Diceros bicornis minor: one gene and its partner. The protein of the gene in region 1 purifies or fractionates together with the protein of each later gene. This does not show direct contact. Links are inferred from orthologs where the notes say so. Each region holds a gene or a part of one and is shown on either strand. Other genes may lie near its edges.

What was found.
Region 2: the proteins of FOXM1 (region 1) and MYBL2 purify together in Homo sapiens (affinity purification with western blotting; 3 studies listed by BioGRID and IntAct, with this or other methods). This does not show direct contact. The link is inferred for Diceros bicornis minor from reciprocal best matches to the Homo sapiens genes FOXM1 and MYBL2.

Annotation. Positions count from the first base shown.
Region 1 is NC_080756.1:58,505,141-58,513,955, forward strand, and holds the start of FOXM1 (forkhead box protein M1), read left to right. Parts: upstream 1-5,053; 5' UTR 5,054-5,208; intron 5,209-7,046; 5' UTR 7,047-7,093; coding exon 7,094-7,595; intron 7,596-8,206; coding exon 8,207-8,358; intron 8,359-8,815. Other genes in the region: RHNO1 (RAD9, HUS1, RAD1-interacting nuclear orphan protein 1), read right to left, coding at 653-820. UniProt on the Homo sapiens protein: Transcription factor regulating the expression of cell cycle genes essential for DNA replication and mitosis. Plays a role in the control of cell proliferation. Also plays a role in DNA break repair, participating in the DNA damage checkpoint response.
Region 2 is NC_080758.1:17,298,186-17,306,238, forward strand, and holds the start of MYBL2 (myb-related protein B), read right to left. Parts: upstream 3,785-8,053; 5' UTR 3,604-3,784; coding exon 3,584-3,603; intron 295-3,583; coding exon 201-294; intron 1-200. UniProt on the Homo sapiens protein: Transcription factor involved in the regulation of cell survival, proliferation, and differentiation. Transactivates the expression of the CLU gene.

The DNA of each region.
Region 1 (8,815 bases):
AGCACATAATGAATTCTCAACAAATTTCATTCCTCTTCTCATCCCCAGGATTCTAACATTTAAGTCTCTTCTACAATCCTGAAGCAAATATTATGGCTTTTCCAAGCAACCCCGACAAGTTACATTTATTAAGCACTCTTAGGCAGAGTTTATGCTTTTGTCTGGCTCTTTTGCTATTCTACTTCCCTGACTTATAGGAGCTATGTTCTCTCTCCAGGGCTTTTAACAAAATATGACATATGCCATTTCTGTGGCTCTTTTTCAAGGTTCAGACTATTAAACAGTAAATAGAGTACCTACCCAAATACTTTACCTCTCACGTGAAGCTCAGGGAACAATCCCATTTTGTACTTGTTCTGCCACTTATCTGGCTTTCTCGCCCAGCTAGTGGGAGGTGAAACTTTGATACTGAACTCTCTCAGAGGAATGTGGCGGGAGACTCCAATTCCAACCACACCATGCCTCAGTTTGAACTTAGAAAAGAAGATATACCAGAGAAGATGGCTGACGATGACAGAAAGAGTATATTATCTCCTTGTCCCTGCCCCCATGAATCTTCTTATTCTTTGGAGGCCCTGGTTCAAGGGGCAGAAGAGTCAGCATTGTGAGAAACCTAACAGAGTAAAGGTCACAGTAAGAATCCATGGCCTACCCAGGAAGTGACGGTGTTGTGGTCAATGGGCTTGCTGGGCACCTGCCTAGTGTAGGTGATGGGAAGCTGTGGAGATCCATAGCGGTGTTTGGGGCTCTCCAGTGGCTGATGGTGGAATAGCAGCTGGGCTTTCTGGCAACTTGGGCGGCGTTTTTTTCTGGGAGGCATCAAGAAGTGAATGAAGAGCAGTTAGTAACCACATGATGCTGGTTGTAGTCAGGTCGGGGGAGTGGCTCCAATTCCAACCCATGCCTGCAGAGAAGAAACAAAAGCTGGGAGAAAGTAATTCTGACGATTCCCCAGCTTTTTCTCATACCCTGCCAGCGAGTTCTACTCTCAACTACCACCCCTACCTCAAGACTGTGGGGAGCACAGCTTCCTATATACAGCGAGTAAAAACACAGTGGTTCACATTCAACAGCATTCGCTCAATGGACATTTATCGAGCAAGTGTTAAGCACCATGCTGGGTGTCGGGAAGTTAAAGATGAATAACCATTTATTCTACGATCATTTATTGAGTGCCAACCACTTGTAGAAACACAGAGGTCAGACTGTCCCTGTCTTCAAAGAGCTGAGAGTCTAGCAGAGGGAGACAGACAATTACAACAATGGGAAGAATGCTTCCACTCACCCCAGGGGAGGCTTTCTAGAGAGGGTGATACCTGACCTGGGTATGGAAGAGCTAGGGAAAGCCAAAAGGCAGGGAGAGCATCCAGGCTGAGGAGCAGCACATACAAAGGCACAGAGACAGGAAGGAACACTGTGAATTCAGGGAATCACAGACTCCATGCAGCTGGACACAGGATACGAAAAGACAAATGGCAAGAATTGAGGCTGGACATGGTGTCAGGGTCAGGTCAGAAAAACCAGGTGTGCTATATGGTTTGGGCTTTAGCCTAAGTAGTCACTGAAGACTTTCAAGCAGAAGGATATGATCACACTTGGATTTTTAAAAATTTTTCAACCTAGATAATTTTGAACACACACCAAAGTGGACTGAATAATATAATGAACCCCCATGTACCTATCACCTAGCTCCAAGAACCATCAACCCATGGCCAATCCTGACCCCTCCAAACCCCTATCCACTTCCCCACCCCTATATTGTTTTGAAGAAAATATGATATTCCCAGTCATTATATCATTCCCATTAACACAACTAATACATATACATATATATACCTTAATATTATTAAATATCCAGAAGTGTTCAAATTTTCAATTGTATCATAAATGGTTTTTTGTTTGTGTTTGTCTTTTAGACAGATTGTCCTGGCAACAGTGTGAAAGGAGAGAACAAGCACCCTGGAAGTAGGAGGACCAGTTTCAGGAGGTAACTGTGTTACCTAAGTGAGAAATGATGGGGCCTAAACCTGGGTTGTCAGTGGAGATGGGAGGCTGGAGACAGAGGCAGGGTCAACAGGACCCACAAAGTGATAAAAAGTCTGAACAAGTGTCCATTGAATCTAGTAACCCGATCAACTTTAGTAAGAGCTTCGTCAATGGAATAGTGGGACAGGAGCCTGAATTCAGTACACAGAGAGCTAAGTGGGAAGCGCAGCTGAGCATCCTGGAAAGCCACACAGCAGGGCAGACTGGTTCCACTATATGTTCATGATTCATTCATTCAGTCAATAACAAAAAAGTAACATACTCTGACTTAGGTCCCTAGGCAGTGGAGATACAGGTAAAGAAAAAAAGGACAAAGTCTCCACCCTCAAGGAACTAACATTTTTAGGGAGAACACAGGTAATAAATATATCTATTTGTTCATTCATTCATTCAACAAATATTTACTGAGTGCCTACTGTGCACTAGGCACTCTTCCAGGTGTTGGAAATATACACCAGACAACAAAACTAAATCCCTGCCCTCATGGCGCTCACATGCTAGTTGGGAAGTGAGAAGAGGAACAGAGAAAAATCAAACAGGATAAGGAGCTGAGTGCTGTTTCAGACAGAGTTGTCATCTGAAAAAAGTGATAGTTGAGCAAAGACCTGAATGAAGAAAGGAGAACAAGGAACAACAGAAAGATGTGAGAGAAGAATATTCCAGGCTGGGAGAATAGTAAGTGCAAAGACCACAAGGTGGGAAGATGTCTGACTTGTTCAAGAAACAGTAAGGTCAGCTTGGCTGAACTGGAGAGTGGTAGGAGATGAGAACCAGTCCATGCGACACAGGGCTTTATAGGCAAGGTTTAGGACCCTGGATTTAATTATTCTTAGTGTGATAGGAAGCCACTGAAAGATTCTGGACACGGAAGTGACGTAACCTGATTTATACTGTTAAAAGATCACTCTAGGCGCTTTGTGAGAAAAGGTGGGTTGGGGAGAGGGGGATGGAGAAAGGAAGCAGGGAACCTGTTAGAAGGCTGCTGCAGGAGCCCAGTGGAGACAGACAGTGTAGCAATGGTTACAGCAGAAGTGCTGAAATTAACCAGCCTCAGATGGACACTGCCTTGTTCAGCAATCCTACCATGTTTCCTTATCAACTCATTTTCCACAAAGATTATCTTATAACTTTTCCACTTTCTTAAAACTTTAGAATTCCCCTTCTCTCTCAACAAACGACCTTACTTCTACTTCACAAAGAATGCAGGAGACATCAAAGGAAATTTTCTCATTTTCCAGAAATCAAACATACAAACCTACATGTATCCTGCACCCATCCGCTTTCTTTCTGCTGTCATTAGAAGTCAGTCCCTTTTGCTATCTAAGGCCTTTCCTTCTGGCTGTGCTTTGGAGCCTTCCTCACTCTATACACCTTTCTTAAGCAATCATCTGCTCACATTTCAATAACCACCTAGAAGTAGGTGACTTAAGTATTTATATACTCAGCTTAGAATTCTCCAAACTCAGGACACATATATCCCACTGCCTACTTGACAGCAACTAGATGTCTCAAGTGCACCTCCAGCTCAACATGTTTAAAGCTGAATTCATGATCATTTCCCCTGCATGCCCTCCACAAAAGTGATCATCTTCCAGGGCCCTTGCTCAGGGAATGGTATCATCATTCATCCAGTTATGTAGCCAGAAACCTTGACATTTCCCTTCCCCCTCTCCCATCCAACTCAACACCAAGCCCTGTCCATATTCCCTCTTAAACGTCTTCAGTAACGCCCCGTTCTTCCCTCTCTCTCTACCTCTGCCGGCCTCCCTCTTCGCCACCCCTCAAGTTCCAACAGTTCTAGCCCGGAGTTTTGCAGTAGCCTAACTGGTCTACCCTAATCCACTCTGGCACCCCCTGCAGAGGGACCTTTCGCCTGCAAATCTGATCTTGACTCACTTCTGCTTAAAATTTTTGAATTTTGAATAAGGACCAAACCCCTCAGTTATGGCTAAGGTCGTGCTTCCTCTGGATCTAGCTTCATGTCACACCATTCAGGTCTCTTAGCTCAACCCCCTCAGCTATTCTTCAGCCTTTGTACACACCAGCTTCCTCCTGCCACCAGCGTTTGCACACGCTATTCCCTTTGCTTTGCGAGTTTCCCTCCCTTCTTTGCATAACGGCGTCCGATCTCAGACCAAGCTTTAGTTCATCAGAAAAGTCTCTCCCGACCTACCAAAAAGTTATCTCTGACCTCTAGCTTATCACGCCACAGCTATAATTCTCCATTTGCTCATCTGATTCTGTGAAAACGTCTGTCTCCTCTCCTCCCATCAGACCGTAGGCTCAGGAGAAAGAACCTCCTCGCCATTGCATCCCAGCGGGGCCGGCACACAGTAGGCGCTCGGCAAAATCCGTGAGTACGTCAATCAACACAGCGCTTCGTTACGCCTAAAAGCCTGGCTGGGGGAGGGGGCAGGTCAGTGCGTGCAGACTCGGAGCCGAGGCAGGGTTCAGGGAGTGGCGTAATTTTTTAAGACGGAGGGAATGTGAACAAGAGTATAAGCTGCCCTCAAAGAACCCTCCGAGTAGTCGGGGGCCCACACGATCGTCAGTCGGAGGTCAACGGAGAAAAGCTCCCAGTGAGGAATCGCCCACGGTAGACTTGAGGGAGGTGGGGAGACGCCGAGGGGGCGGAGAGCGGCGTCGCCTGAGGCGACCCGGGCGGCGACGGAGCCCGGGAGGGAGCAGCACGCCGCCGGCCGCGGGTCCCCGCCGCCCCGCCGCCCCGCCGCGGGAGCCCCGCCGGCGCCGTCCCGGCGCCCCGGCCGCGCCCGCCCTCGTGCCGGCCGCCTCACCCGGCCCCTTACCCGCCGGGGCGCCCCGCCGCTCCGCCCGGCCGCGCCGCGTTCGAGCCCGGAACGCGGAGACAAGGGCCGGCACCGATTGGCGACGCTCCGTCACGTGACCGCAACGCTCCGCCGGCGCCAATTTCAAACAGCGGAACAAACTGAAAGCTCCGGTGCCCGACCCCACCCCCGGCCCCCGGCCCGGGACCCCTCCCCTCCCGGGATCCCCCGGGGTTCCCCACCCCGCCCGCACCGCCGGGGACCCGGCGGGCCCGGCACGAGTCTTGTCCGGGGCCCCGGCGCGGCCCCAGGTTGGAGGAGCCCGGACCCACCCTAGGAGCCATAGCCCAGCGGCGGCGGCGGCTGCAGTCGGGAGGTGAGCCGGCGCGGAGGCACGGAGTCGAGGCCGGGCCTTGGCGGAGGCAGGGAGCAAGGTCTCGGGCGCCGAGGTCAGGGGGTCTAGCAGCAGGGCGCGGGGCAGGAGTGGAGGTCTTGGGGCCACACGGGAAGGAGGTTCTGAGCGAGGGTGCAAATTTTTTCTGCATCTAGCCTCCCAGCCTTGTCCTCACTTCTTTCCCAAAGCACCCCTTGGCCCTCCCTGGAAGTTTGACCTCTGCACCCTGCCCGCAGCCTCGGGAGGGCTGGGTTGGCAGACTGTGGCTAGGTTGAAGATTGAGCTTATTCTGCATTAAATCAAAGACAAACCTGCCCACACACTCCCCTGCTCCCAGGTGCTCTCACCACTATGCAACACTGCCTCCGCTCCACCCTTTTACAGGGCCCTTCTCCTGGTTCTTGAGAATCCTGCAAAGTTTCCCTGGTCAGGATGGGGGTGGGGTCAGAGGAGTCACTCTGGAAGTCTCCTGGGCTAGATAAAGTGTTGGCAATGATAGGAAAGAGGCTGCACGGAGAGTGGAGGGGAAAATTAAGCCGTGGACCAGGAAGATATCTTTTGGGGGTGGGGAGGGAATAATAGTGTCTACTGATTGATGGAGGAAGGGAGGGAGGCCTGAAGAGATATGAAGTGCAAATAAAACTGAGATTTGAAGGTAGAGGAAACCTAGATGTAAAGGAAAGGGAGGAGGCAGAGTGGGGAGGGCCTGTGAACTCTAAGCAGATGGCAAGTGCCATATGAGTGTGACAGTCATTTTTGGGGAGATGGCAGATGTCCTAAAAAAGAGACAGCTCATTCCTCTGTCAAAGTACCTCTAAATGGGATTACACAATTTTACATAGTGGTAGAGTATTTCATGTACCTATTAAAATCAATAAAGCACAATTTTTTTAAAGCTAAAACTATTTTCCTGAACATTACAAAACCGCATTAATAGCATATTGGTGCTAGCACATTCTACTAGTCAGGAGATAGGGATTATAGTCTTGGCTCTGGAAGAGAAATTAAGTACTACAGTAACTAACGTACTTAGAAAGTTAAAATATGAATAAGGACAGGCAAGTACTAAAATGTCACTATATAAGTATTTTGCAAATTGTGAAAGAAAAATGTACTTTTTTTGAATCAATGCAAGGATAATAGCAAAATGTGAAATGAATGGCACCCCTTAGCATTATGCAGTACACAATCTGCCCACTTTACCATGGGCCTTGACAAGAGCAGTTTCCCGTTCATCTGGGGTCTTGTGAACCGGGAGATGATTTCTTCAGCGGTGTGGCACCAGTGCAATAGCACAATCTGCCTTTCTCCTCTCACTCTACGGGCACTGACCCTTTTATTTATAAACTGAGATGATTTAAAAATAGGAAGGCTCTGTCCTAGAATGGATTATGGGATCGGAGTTTTGTCAGGACTCCTAATTACCAAACGTCCTCCTATTCCAGCATTCCTGCCCCTACAGCCACTGCAAGTGACCCGTATTATAGTAGGCAATAATAGAGATTTCTACATTTTTGTAACTGTCCCACTTGTTTCCGTAGCCAAACATTCTGAAGCTTCCAGAAGACCTTTGGCTGTGTTGACCTATATCCAACCCAATCCCACTTTCCCCCTTTGAATTGCTTCTGTTGGCTTCAATTTTAGCTTTCTTTTGTCAGTAGAACTCATCTCCTTTTTGTCTGAGGTGTCCCAGGGAGCATTCACCTGGGCCTGTGGGCTCATGCTTCTGCTCATAGGTAGAGGAATGCATCTCTCTTTAACAGAAGCTTCTTCTCAGCCTAACAAATCTCTGACATCCTGCTTCTCCTTGCACTTCCTAGGGTCTGTGTTTATGATTCTCAATGGAGAGTGAAAGCACAGATTCATAATGAAAACTAGCCCCCGTCGGCCACTGATTCTCAAAAGACGGAGGCTGCCCCTTCCTGTTCAAAATGCCCCAGGTGAAACATCAGAAGCTGAGCCTAAGAAGGCCCCTGCCCAACAAGAGCCTGGTCAAGCGCAGGCCTCCAAGGAGGTGGCAGAGTCCAACTCTTGCAAGTTTCCGGCTGGGATCAAGATTATTAACCACCCCACCATGCCCGACACCCAAGTGGTGGCCGTCCCCAACAATGCCAATATCCAGAGCATCATCACAGCATTGACGGCCAAAGGAAAAGAGAGTGGCAGCAGTGGGCCCAACAAATTCATCCTCATCAGCTGTGGGGGAGCCCCCACTCACCCCCCAGGACCCCAGCCTCAAGCCCAAACCAGCAATGATCCCAACAGGACAAAAGTGATCACCAACACCCTGGGACCAAAGCCTGCAGCTAGGGATGTGAATCTTCCTAGACCACCTGGAGCCCTTCCTGGGCAGAGATGGGAGAGCTGTGGTATGTGGTCTGGCGGGCAAAGGGGTGAGGAACCCAGCCTTTCCTCTCCAGTGGCAAGGACTGCAGTCCGTCAGGTTGCTACTTACAACAGACAGGCGTCTAGCCTGGACTAGGGAAAGGCTTGTCTTTCTTCATCCTGAAACCTTGACCCAGACCCTTTGGGCGCTGTCCAAAGGGTTGCAATTGTAATTTAGCATTTCTATTGCCTTCTTTATATTGGAAAAGGATTTGTTTATTGTTTCTATTTATCCTTCCCATTGACCAAATAAGGAAGTAGGAGTCTTTCTCCATCTTAATAAAGGAGAAAACTGAAGCATGAGGAGGAAAAGTGAATTTCCTTGTGCAGATAGTAACTCTTTTGTAAGGTAGCCTTGACTGATCTCTAGGGTTTAGTGTGGCTCAGATTGAAAGGCAACTGGAACTATGCTCCTGAATTTTTCCTGAATTCCATAATGGGGCAGAATACCCGAGGGCTGCAACAGATTCAGCATGTGTTCTTTTCCCCTAAGGGTAAAGGTATTGGAGAGGTGATCCCCAACCACCAATTTTGATGTGCCTGCCGGGCCTCAGATCAGGCAGCTAAGTGGCATCTTGGATTGTCTCCCCTCTAGCTGGCGGTGAGGCAGCAGGCTGCACTCTCGACAACAGCTTGACCAACATCCAGTGGCTTGGAAAGATGAGCTCTGATGGACTGGGCTCCTGCAGCATCAAGCAAGAGGTGGAGGAGAAGGAGAATCATCACCTGGAGCAGAGTCAGGTTAAGGTGAACTCTTCTGTCACTCACTAGGGAAGTCAGAGCCAGTGCTGGGCGTTTCTAAGAAGGGAAATGGATCAAGTGGCCTGCGGAGCAGAATACCAGAACCAGAATACCAGGTTCTGGTATTAGCACTTCACTTCGTGTGATTCTGTGCAACTTTCGAGCTGGCTTCCTGGCTGGGATCTTTTCTCCCCCATCTGTGAAATTTCCTCGAGGGCAGACTCCTCTGGCTCTCTCTGTATTCCATCAGTACTGAGTTTAGTACATTGCCCTTTATAGGTACTTAGTAGGTATTCAGGAAACCTTGAAGAGGTCTTAGTTTGGAAAGCAACTTGACCTCTAAAGGGGTATCCCACAGTATGAAAGGAATACAGCATTTTTAACAGGATAGTTTTATTAGAAGATATTTGGGGCCGGCCCAGTGGCGTAGCGGTTGAGTTCGCACGCTCCGCTTCAGCGGCCC
Region 2 (8,053 bases), on another chromosome or scaffold:
TCCCCCCAAGAGACCTCACTATTGAGACTCCCTGAGGATGCTCTGAGAGGAGGCATCATCAGGGAGAACCAGAGGACTCACCCGCTTCTTTCACCGGCTCCTCCTCTTCCCACTTGTCAGGGCATCAGGCAGATACACCCCAGGCTAGTTCTCAGGCCATCCCACCACCCCCTCCGGAATTGCCCCTCAGTGTCACTTACCTCCTCGTGGGTCCATTTGACCTTGCACTTGCTGTCCCTCTGCTCAGGCACGTCTGAATCCGTGTCCTGGTAGTGCAGCTCATCCAGCTCCTCACTGCAGGAGGAGCAAGTTAAAAGTCAAGTACATGTGTCTCCACACGTCCTTGCTACATGATGGACAGACAGTGTGGGCAACGGCCAGTCACCTCTAGGGACAAGTTATGGGAGGCAGGCTTTTACTCTTTCCGCTTTTAAAACTGTAAGTATTTCCACGCTCTTTTTAATTTTTTAATGAAATGGGGTCACGGGCTATTTTTATTTTCTTTATTCTTTTATTTTCAGGAGCACCCTAATGATTTCAAAAGCTACAAGAAAAAAGAGGTTAAGATTTCATCAAGAATATTATGAGACTCAAAACCAGCACCCATTTAATATTTTCAATAACAAAACTTTTTAAACTTGCATATTTTGAGGATTAGAGCTAACCATGTGTGTGATCATCAAGCACAAGGATTTTAAGAAATATTATTTTAAATACGTTATCTCAGTAACTATGCCCGTTTTTGCATACCCCCTTCTCAATCCTTCTCTACACACAGACAGTTTATGGAGTAGAAGCAGCTTTGAATTCTCGATGTTTTTAATTTTCTAATAGGCAATTTTCCAAGTTGCTCCAAAATCCTCATATTTATTAGGTTTAAATGGTTACAAAAATGGAGATCATGGGGCCGGCCTGGTGGCGTAGTGGTTAAGTTCCTGTGCTCCACTTCAGCAGCTGGGGTTTCACAGGTAGGATCCCGGGCACGGACCTACACACCACTCATCAAGTCATGCTGTGGCCGCATCCCACATACAAAATAGAGGAAGATGAGCACAGATGTTAGCTCAGGGACAATCTTCCTCAAGTAAAAAAAAAAAAAAAAAAATGGAGATCATACTATCCATCTTCAGGGATGTCAGGTGCTGAGGGAAGGTTAGTAACCTCCCAACTCCACGTGGTGGGGCCTGCATCAGGTCACCTGTCAGGTACGTTCCTAAGGCAGGTATTTCTAAGTGGGAAAAGCCTACACATCTCCAAGCAAGCAAGGCAAGCACAAGCCGTGTGCCAAAAGAAGGAAGAGGGCTTCCTTTTGTGTCCACACTCCTTTCCCCTTCTCCAGATCTCAGCACCTTCCTGGAGTCACTCCCGTGTTCCCACAGCACCTTGGAAATCCTCCTGTCTCAGAATGTAGACCCTTAGGCTGCAACTGCCTATCTCCTTGACATCTTCAATAGAGGTCAGCTCCACCTCCACTGGGCCAGGATGGGAGGTGGCACCAAAAAGGCCTTAAGATATGTTTGCTCAGGGAATGACCAGATACACGAATAAATGAATGAATGAACATGCAAAGCTGCTGCTTGTTAGTTGAAAAGAAATACTAATTAAAGTAAATTTTTTAGAAGTAGGAAAGGAAAGTATGGTGTCTAAACCCAGCAACACATCAGTCACAGAAGGAGCTGGAACGCAGCCTTGCCCTGTCATTCCCGAGCCCATACATGGGGTCCTCCACCATCACAAAGTAGGAGGCAAGACATCTACAAGACACTAATAACAGAATGAAGTGGGTTTTAAAATTAACTGCCCCCAGACTCCTTTCTGACAGAAACGATATTTGGTTCTCCAGCACCCAGCTTCTAATCGAAGCTCAGCAAATGTTCTTTCAAGGATGAAAAGGTATCCGTGTGTACACTCTCTGGTGCTCCAATCCTCTATTTAATGGGGAAGCAACTCAGCTGAGAGAATTCTGTGAGATAATACACTTCCGTCAGCAACATGGTGCTGACCAACCACTTCATAGGCACTTTCATTATCCCCATTTAACAGATGAGGAAACTGAGGCTCAGGGGTTATGCCACTTATCAAGTCCACAGAGCCAGGCTCCAAACCTGCACCTTCAAGTCTTCACCAAGTAATCACAGCTGAAAAAGCAGAGGCCAAGTCAGTGGTGGCAACCACGTGTAGGTCCAACACACCCTTTCTATGCCCTTCAATGTGCTGGGCTCTGCTCCAGGCGGGGTGAGTCAGAAGCTGAGCGGGAAGTGGGGCACTGGTGCAGAGGAGAGCTACAGCAAGTGGCCAAGAATCGAGCTGAGGGCTGTGGGGTGCCAGGTGCAGAACCTATCCCCCACCTGGGAGGGGGTTCCTCCACTGAGCCCCAGGGGAGAAGTGGCAGAGGACCTGGGGGTTGTCTGGGGCTTTGTCATTTCCTGGAGTAAAACTTCCTGAATCAAAAGTCACAACAGGGTCTGACAAGTGCCTAACCAGAAAACTCCTGGGACTCCGAGCAGCCCTGGGAAATCGTGACCTGAGGAAGACAGACCCTGTGCCAGGTACCCTGACCACTGCCCAGGGATCAGATGTCTCCTCGCTGAGAGGAACTCTGGGGAAAGCCAGCAATGAGTGCTTCTCGGGTCTACATCCTCAGCCTGAGAAGGCAAACACCATCTCAAGACGGGTGTAGGGTTGTCTGGGCTGCATGAATCCAGGCAGGGGTCAAGACAGGACCCCCTTTGTCCTCCCTGACTCCCAGACTGGCTGAAAAGCCCAGAACTCAGGTCCCAGGCGCACAGGTGTAAGACTGGGACCCGGAGCCCACAGACCTGGTTCCAGGTTCGACTCTGCCACTTATTCTCTGGGGGAATAGGTAAAATGGAGACCACAGTTCCTGCCGTGGCCCCAGGGGCTGCTGGCACAGAGTGGTCTTGATACACATCAGTTTCTCTTCCCCTCACCTTCAACCCCAGCTGCCCCAAACTCCTCACGTGGAACAGGAAGACAGGTCTCTGAAACTAAACCGAGCTGGGGCCCGGAAGCCAGGTGGTGGGGGACAAAAGGGCCCCCTCCCCCACAGCACCCTTCTCAGGGCAGGGGAGAGGACTTGGGGTGTTCTGTGCTTCCCCAAACGTTGAGAATCGCCAAATCTGAACCAAAATAGGTTTGAACGACAAGTGTCTTTCAGGCTTTGGCCTCCTGCTCACTGCGACTTGGAGCATCAGTTTCCCTCTCCAGGGGTCGCCTCCCTCCCCGGTAAAGGCCCTTCTAGCTGACACCGCCATTCCACCCCCACCCCGCAATTAGGCGGGAGACAAAATGACATCATGCAGGGCTTGGCCCGGGTCCCAGGAGACCCGCCCGCCCCGGCTCCGAGGCCCAGCAGGCCCGGGGAGCAGAGCGAGGGGTCCCCAAGAGGCCCCCGTCTTCGCGAGCGCCCCCTGCCTCAGGCGACCCAGGGCTCAGCATTTCCCGCAGAACTCGTCCCCCCGGCCCCGCTCGGAGGGACCATGGGGGGGGGGGCAGGAATCGGGGTGGAGGGGGATGGAGTCTGCGGAGGGGGAGGGGCCCTCAGCCGCCCGGCCCCGCTCACCCGCGCGTCCGCCGAGACATCCCCCCGGCCCGGGCCGCGCCGCGCTCGCCCGCCTGCCGGCTGAGCCCGGAGCGGGAGCCGGGCCGGGGTCAGGGCGCGCGCTGCTCCGGCCGCTCCGGGCCCCGGGGCCGCGCTGGGAGGCGTCAGCGTGTCCGCAGGTCCCGCCGCCTCTCGCAGGAGCTGCAGCCGCCGCCGGCGCGCACAGAAGCACTTTTCTATCTCCCGCCAAGCGCGTCGGCGCCGCCCGGGCCTGGCGCGCGGGCGGGCGGGCTGCGCGGGGCGGGGCCTGCGGGGCGGGGCGGGGCCTGCGGGCCGGCAGACGGGCGCCGCGCCGGCCCAGAGCCCTGAAGCCCGGGGCGGGGAGAGCCAGGGGTGCGACGGGGCACTGGGAGAGGCGGCTCTGAGCTGGCCACCGGGTGACTGAGGCCCGGCCCAGGCCCAGTGTGGATCCGGGGCGGCCCTGGAGTAGCCCCACACGGCAAAGGCTGAGGAAAGGGAGTGAGGGGCAAGGATGGGAGAGTCAGGCCGGGGAAACCGCCTGCGCAAAAACCTCAGCACTAGTCCAAGCCGCTCTTCGTCCCTACGGCCCCCACCCTAAAGCGGCCCCCTCACCCCTACGCCTCCCTGCTTCCTCTGCAGCCTCGAATTCAATGGCTCCACAGCCCCCACCCTAAAGCGGATCCCTCACCCCTACCGTCTCCCTGCTTCCTCTGCAGCGTGGAATTCAATGGCTCCCGCTCCTCAGGTCCACTCCTGGCAACCCGAAGGAGCCTTATAAAATGCAAACCTGAGCTTGCCTCTCCAGACTTAAAACTTCTCTCCTCTCCCTCAGGGTAAAAGACTCCATAATCAGGTTGATAGGATTCTGCCAGATCACCACCCCGCCCTTAGCCAAAGGAAACTGGCTAGCTTCTGTTGCCTTTGCTTGGGCCATTACCTGGGCCAGGAACACTTCCCGCCCATCCCTCCCAATTATCCCTGGGGTCCACTGCCCGCAATCTGCTTGTTGACTTGTGCGTTTCCGCCTTTGAACTATGGGCAGGCTGAGGTCCAAGTGGCCCCTCAATTCACTGCAGTATCCCCAGGGCCCAGAATTCAACAGCTGAGTTGAATTCAGTTTGCCACATACTTAAACTCCTAGAGACTTGGCAAAGATTTTCCATTCTTTTTTTTTTTTTTTTTGGTGAGGAAGATCAGCCCTCAGCTAACATCTGATGCCAATCCTCCTCTTTTTTGGTGAGGAAGACTGGCCCTGGGCTAACATCCGTGCCCATCTTCCTCCATATTTATATGGGAGGCCGCCACAGCAGGGCTTGACAAGCAGTATGTCGGTGTGCGCCTGGGTTCTGAACCTGCGAACCCTAGGCCGATGCAAGGGAGCGTGCACGCCTAACTGCTGCGTCACCGGGCAGCCCCGGATTCTCCATTCTAAGTTGCCATTTACCAAGCACCTCCGGAGTGTCATGCCACACCAGGCTCCCTGGGCGGAGTGCTGAGACAAGGTGAATGAACTATGAGACAGGAGCCTGGAGAGACCTGGCTGAACTCCAGCCTCTTAGGCCCTGCTTATGCCTTAGATCCCTCTTCCAGAAACTGCTGGCCACCTGGGACAGTCCAGCCAGCTGCTGCAAACTTCATTTACCACAGCAGAAGGAATACTGACATCTTAAGTGCTAGAAGCTTCCACATCAATTAATTCAGGGCTTCCCCCACCTACTTCTCTCATAAAGTAATTCATGTGGACATTCTGTCTTCATTGTCAGAGCATAATATTTAAGAGTGCAGGCTCTGAAGCCAGACTTCCTGGGGTTTTATGCCCAGCTCCATCATTTACTAGTTGTGTGATCTTAGGCAAATTCCTTAACTCCTCTGTTCCTCAGTTTCCTCATCTGTAAAAATGAGATTTATCAAAAACTTAGATAGCTTTCACTATATTCCAGCCACTGTTCTGTATGCTCTGTAAACTTTATTTCATTTAATTCTCATAACAACCCTATGACGTAGTATTAATATTATCCTCTTTTGGCAGATGGGGAAACAGACACAGGCCTCCCCCACAGGTCACACTGCTAGTACTGTCAATGGCAAAGCAAGGATTCAAACCTGGGCTGTCTAGTTCTAGAGTCTATGTTCTTAATCACTATACTGGTACCTACTTTGTAGAATGGTTGTGGGATTAAATAAATTAATATGTGTAAACCACTGAGAACAATCCCTGGCACATAATAAGTATGATATTACTTTTAGTTATTATTATTATTATTATTATTATGACTCTTCACCTGCCCTAATGCTTCTCCTTTGAGGTCCAGGAAGCTGCTTTGCACACAGCACACACTCTCACATGGATTATTTGTCCCATTTCAGGAGGGAGACAGGACCTGGCAGCTCCAGCAAGGCATTTGCCCAAGGCAAGAGGCAGGGAGCAGCTGGAGAGTCTCCCTGGAACCTGGAACTGGGGCCAGTTGAGCAATACACTAGAGTCTAAAAAGCCTGGAGTCAGTGCTCCGAGTCAAGGAGCAGGGAGATCACCCTGGTGCCAGATAGAATCTGGTAATCTCCACAAGTGTGTCTTCTCCAGTTATCATCATACCAACAGACAGCCCCTAGAGAGAGGATTCCAAGTGTCCTGGGTGCAGCCACAGGTGGGAGTGGTCCCTGGGCCCAGGACCGATAACATACAGACTGCACTCTACTGGGAAACTTCCTGGACATGCCCTCCTCAGACAGGGAGGCTCTAGTCCTCTGGTCATTCCATAATCTGCCCCACTCCAGGCTCCACACTCAGGGCAAGATAGGATCTGACTTGGGGAGACAGGATCAAATCTACTTATTAAATGCTCAGGGCCCAGCACTAGGCTGGACACAAAACAAACACTGATTGACGACAAGCAATTGACAACTAGGATCATGTGGCCCTTCTGCTTGGCGTCTTCCCCTCTACCTACTGAGCACCTTCCTTATCAACCTTGTCCTCCCACCATACTTCCCTCCACCCACAATTTTATTGTTCTCTCAAGAACAGGGACAGCCCCACATTCACAGTCTTAGCTTCATATCTTTACCATAATGTTTGGCTCCTTGTAGGTACTCACGGAAGAGGTTTTAAACATTTTTTAATTGAATGAATTAAATATTATAAAGCTAACATTTGGGCTGGAGTTAGGAAGGCACAGACTAGAACTGAAAGGACTTAGATTGCTCGAGTTTGAACTGTATCTTGTAAGATGTGAAACATCAAAAGGGATTTTTAAACAAAAGAATGTTTTTCAGACACTTCTGCCCCACTCCCAAGGGCATCAGTGTAGAGGACAGAGTCATGGCCACAGGCATGAGAGTCCAAGCACCACAACTGGACATGGGACACTGTCTACAACAGGGGGGATCCCAATGCAGGGAAAGCAATTCGGTTACCTGATTCAAGGAATCAGACCTCTACAGAGAAATTTCCCCACCCACTTCTCAAAAGATTGAGATTTTATGAATAACTCTTTGCAAAGGACCTATCTTTGAGTTCCAGAAAAGGATCAGCAAAGTATCCAGATCAGAAAATAATAATAGCTGGATTTTCCTGGGGAAGACACCATATGCCAGGCACCATACTAAGAGCTTCACATTCCTTTTGCATTTAATGCTCATCTGTATGTGAGGCAGGTACCAATAGGTTCCCCATTTGAAAGATAAGAAAACTGAGGCACCAAGATGTTAAGTTACCATGATCACACAGCCAGTGGACTGGTAGCTTGAAGCAAAGCACCCATAATTTAAAATGTAAATTTGGAGAGTACTGTTTGTGAAAATACGCTGAAATGATCGAAGCTGGGCTCAAGCCTGGGGCTAGTCATGAGATGATCCAACCATCCATACTCTCCAGAAGCTCCTCAGCTGATAGGGGAGACAATGAGTAAACAGAAAATCAGCTCAATACAGGTGAAGGTAAACTACAGGGGTTGTGGATGCCCAACCAGCGGGGTCACTAAATGTTCTTCAGAGCTGGGTGATTTAGGAATTTGCAAGGTGGCCAATGTGGGGAATGGCAGTTGAGGCAGAGGGAATAGCCAATGCATGTCAGGGAGAAGGAATATAAGAAGTACTCAGGGACTGGCCAGAGATGAAGAGGTCATTCTTGACTCTTCTCTCACATTACTTATCTGATCCATCTGCAAATCTTATTGGCTCTGCTCTCAAACTCTACCTTCAAAATATATCCAACGGCAAAAGCACATGAAAAGAAGCTCAATACCATGTCATTAGGAAAATGCAAAATAAAACCATGAGATTTACACACCTACTAGAAAGGCTAAAATTGAAAAGACTAATCATATCAAATGTTGGTGAAGATGAGGAGCAATCAGAATTCTCAAATACTCCTGGTGGAAATGCAAAATTGTACAACCACTTTGGAAACAGTTCAGCAGTTTCTTAAAAATTTAACATATATACCTACCATGTGACCCAAGCCATTCCAAG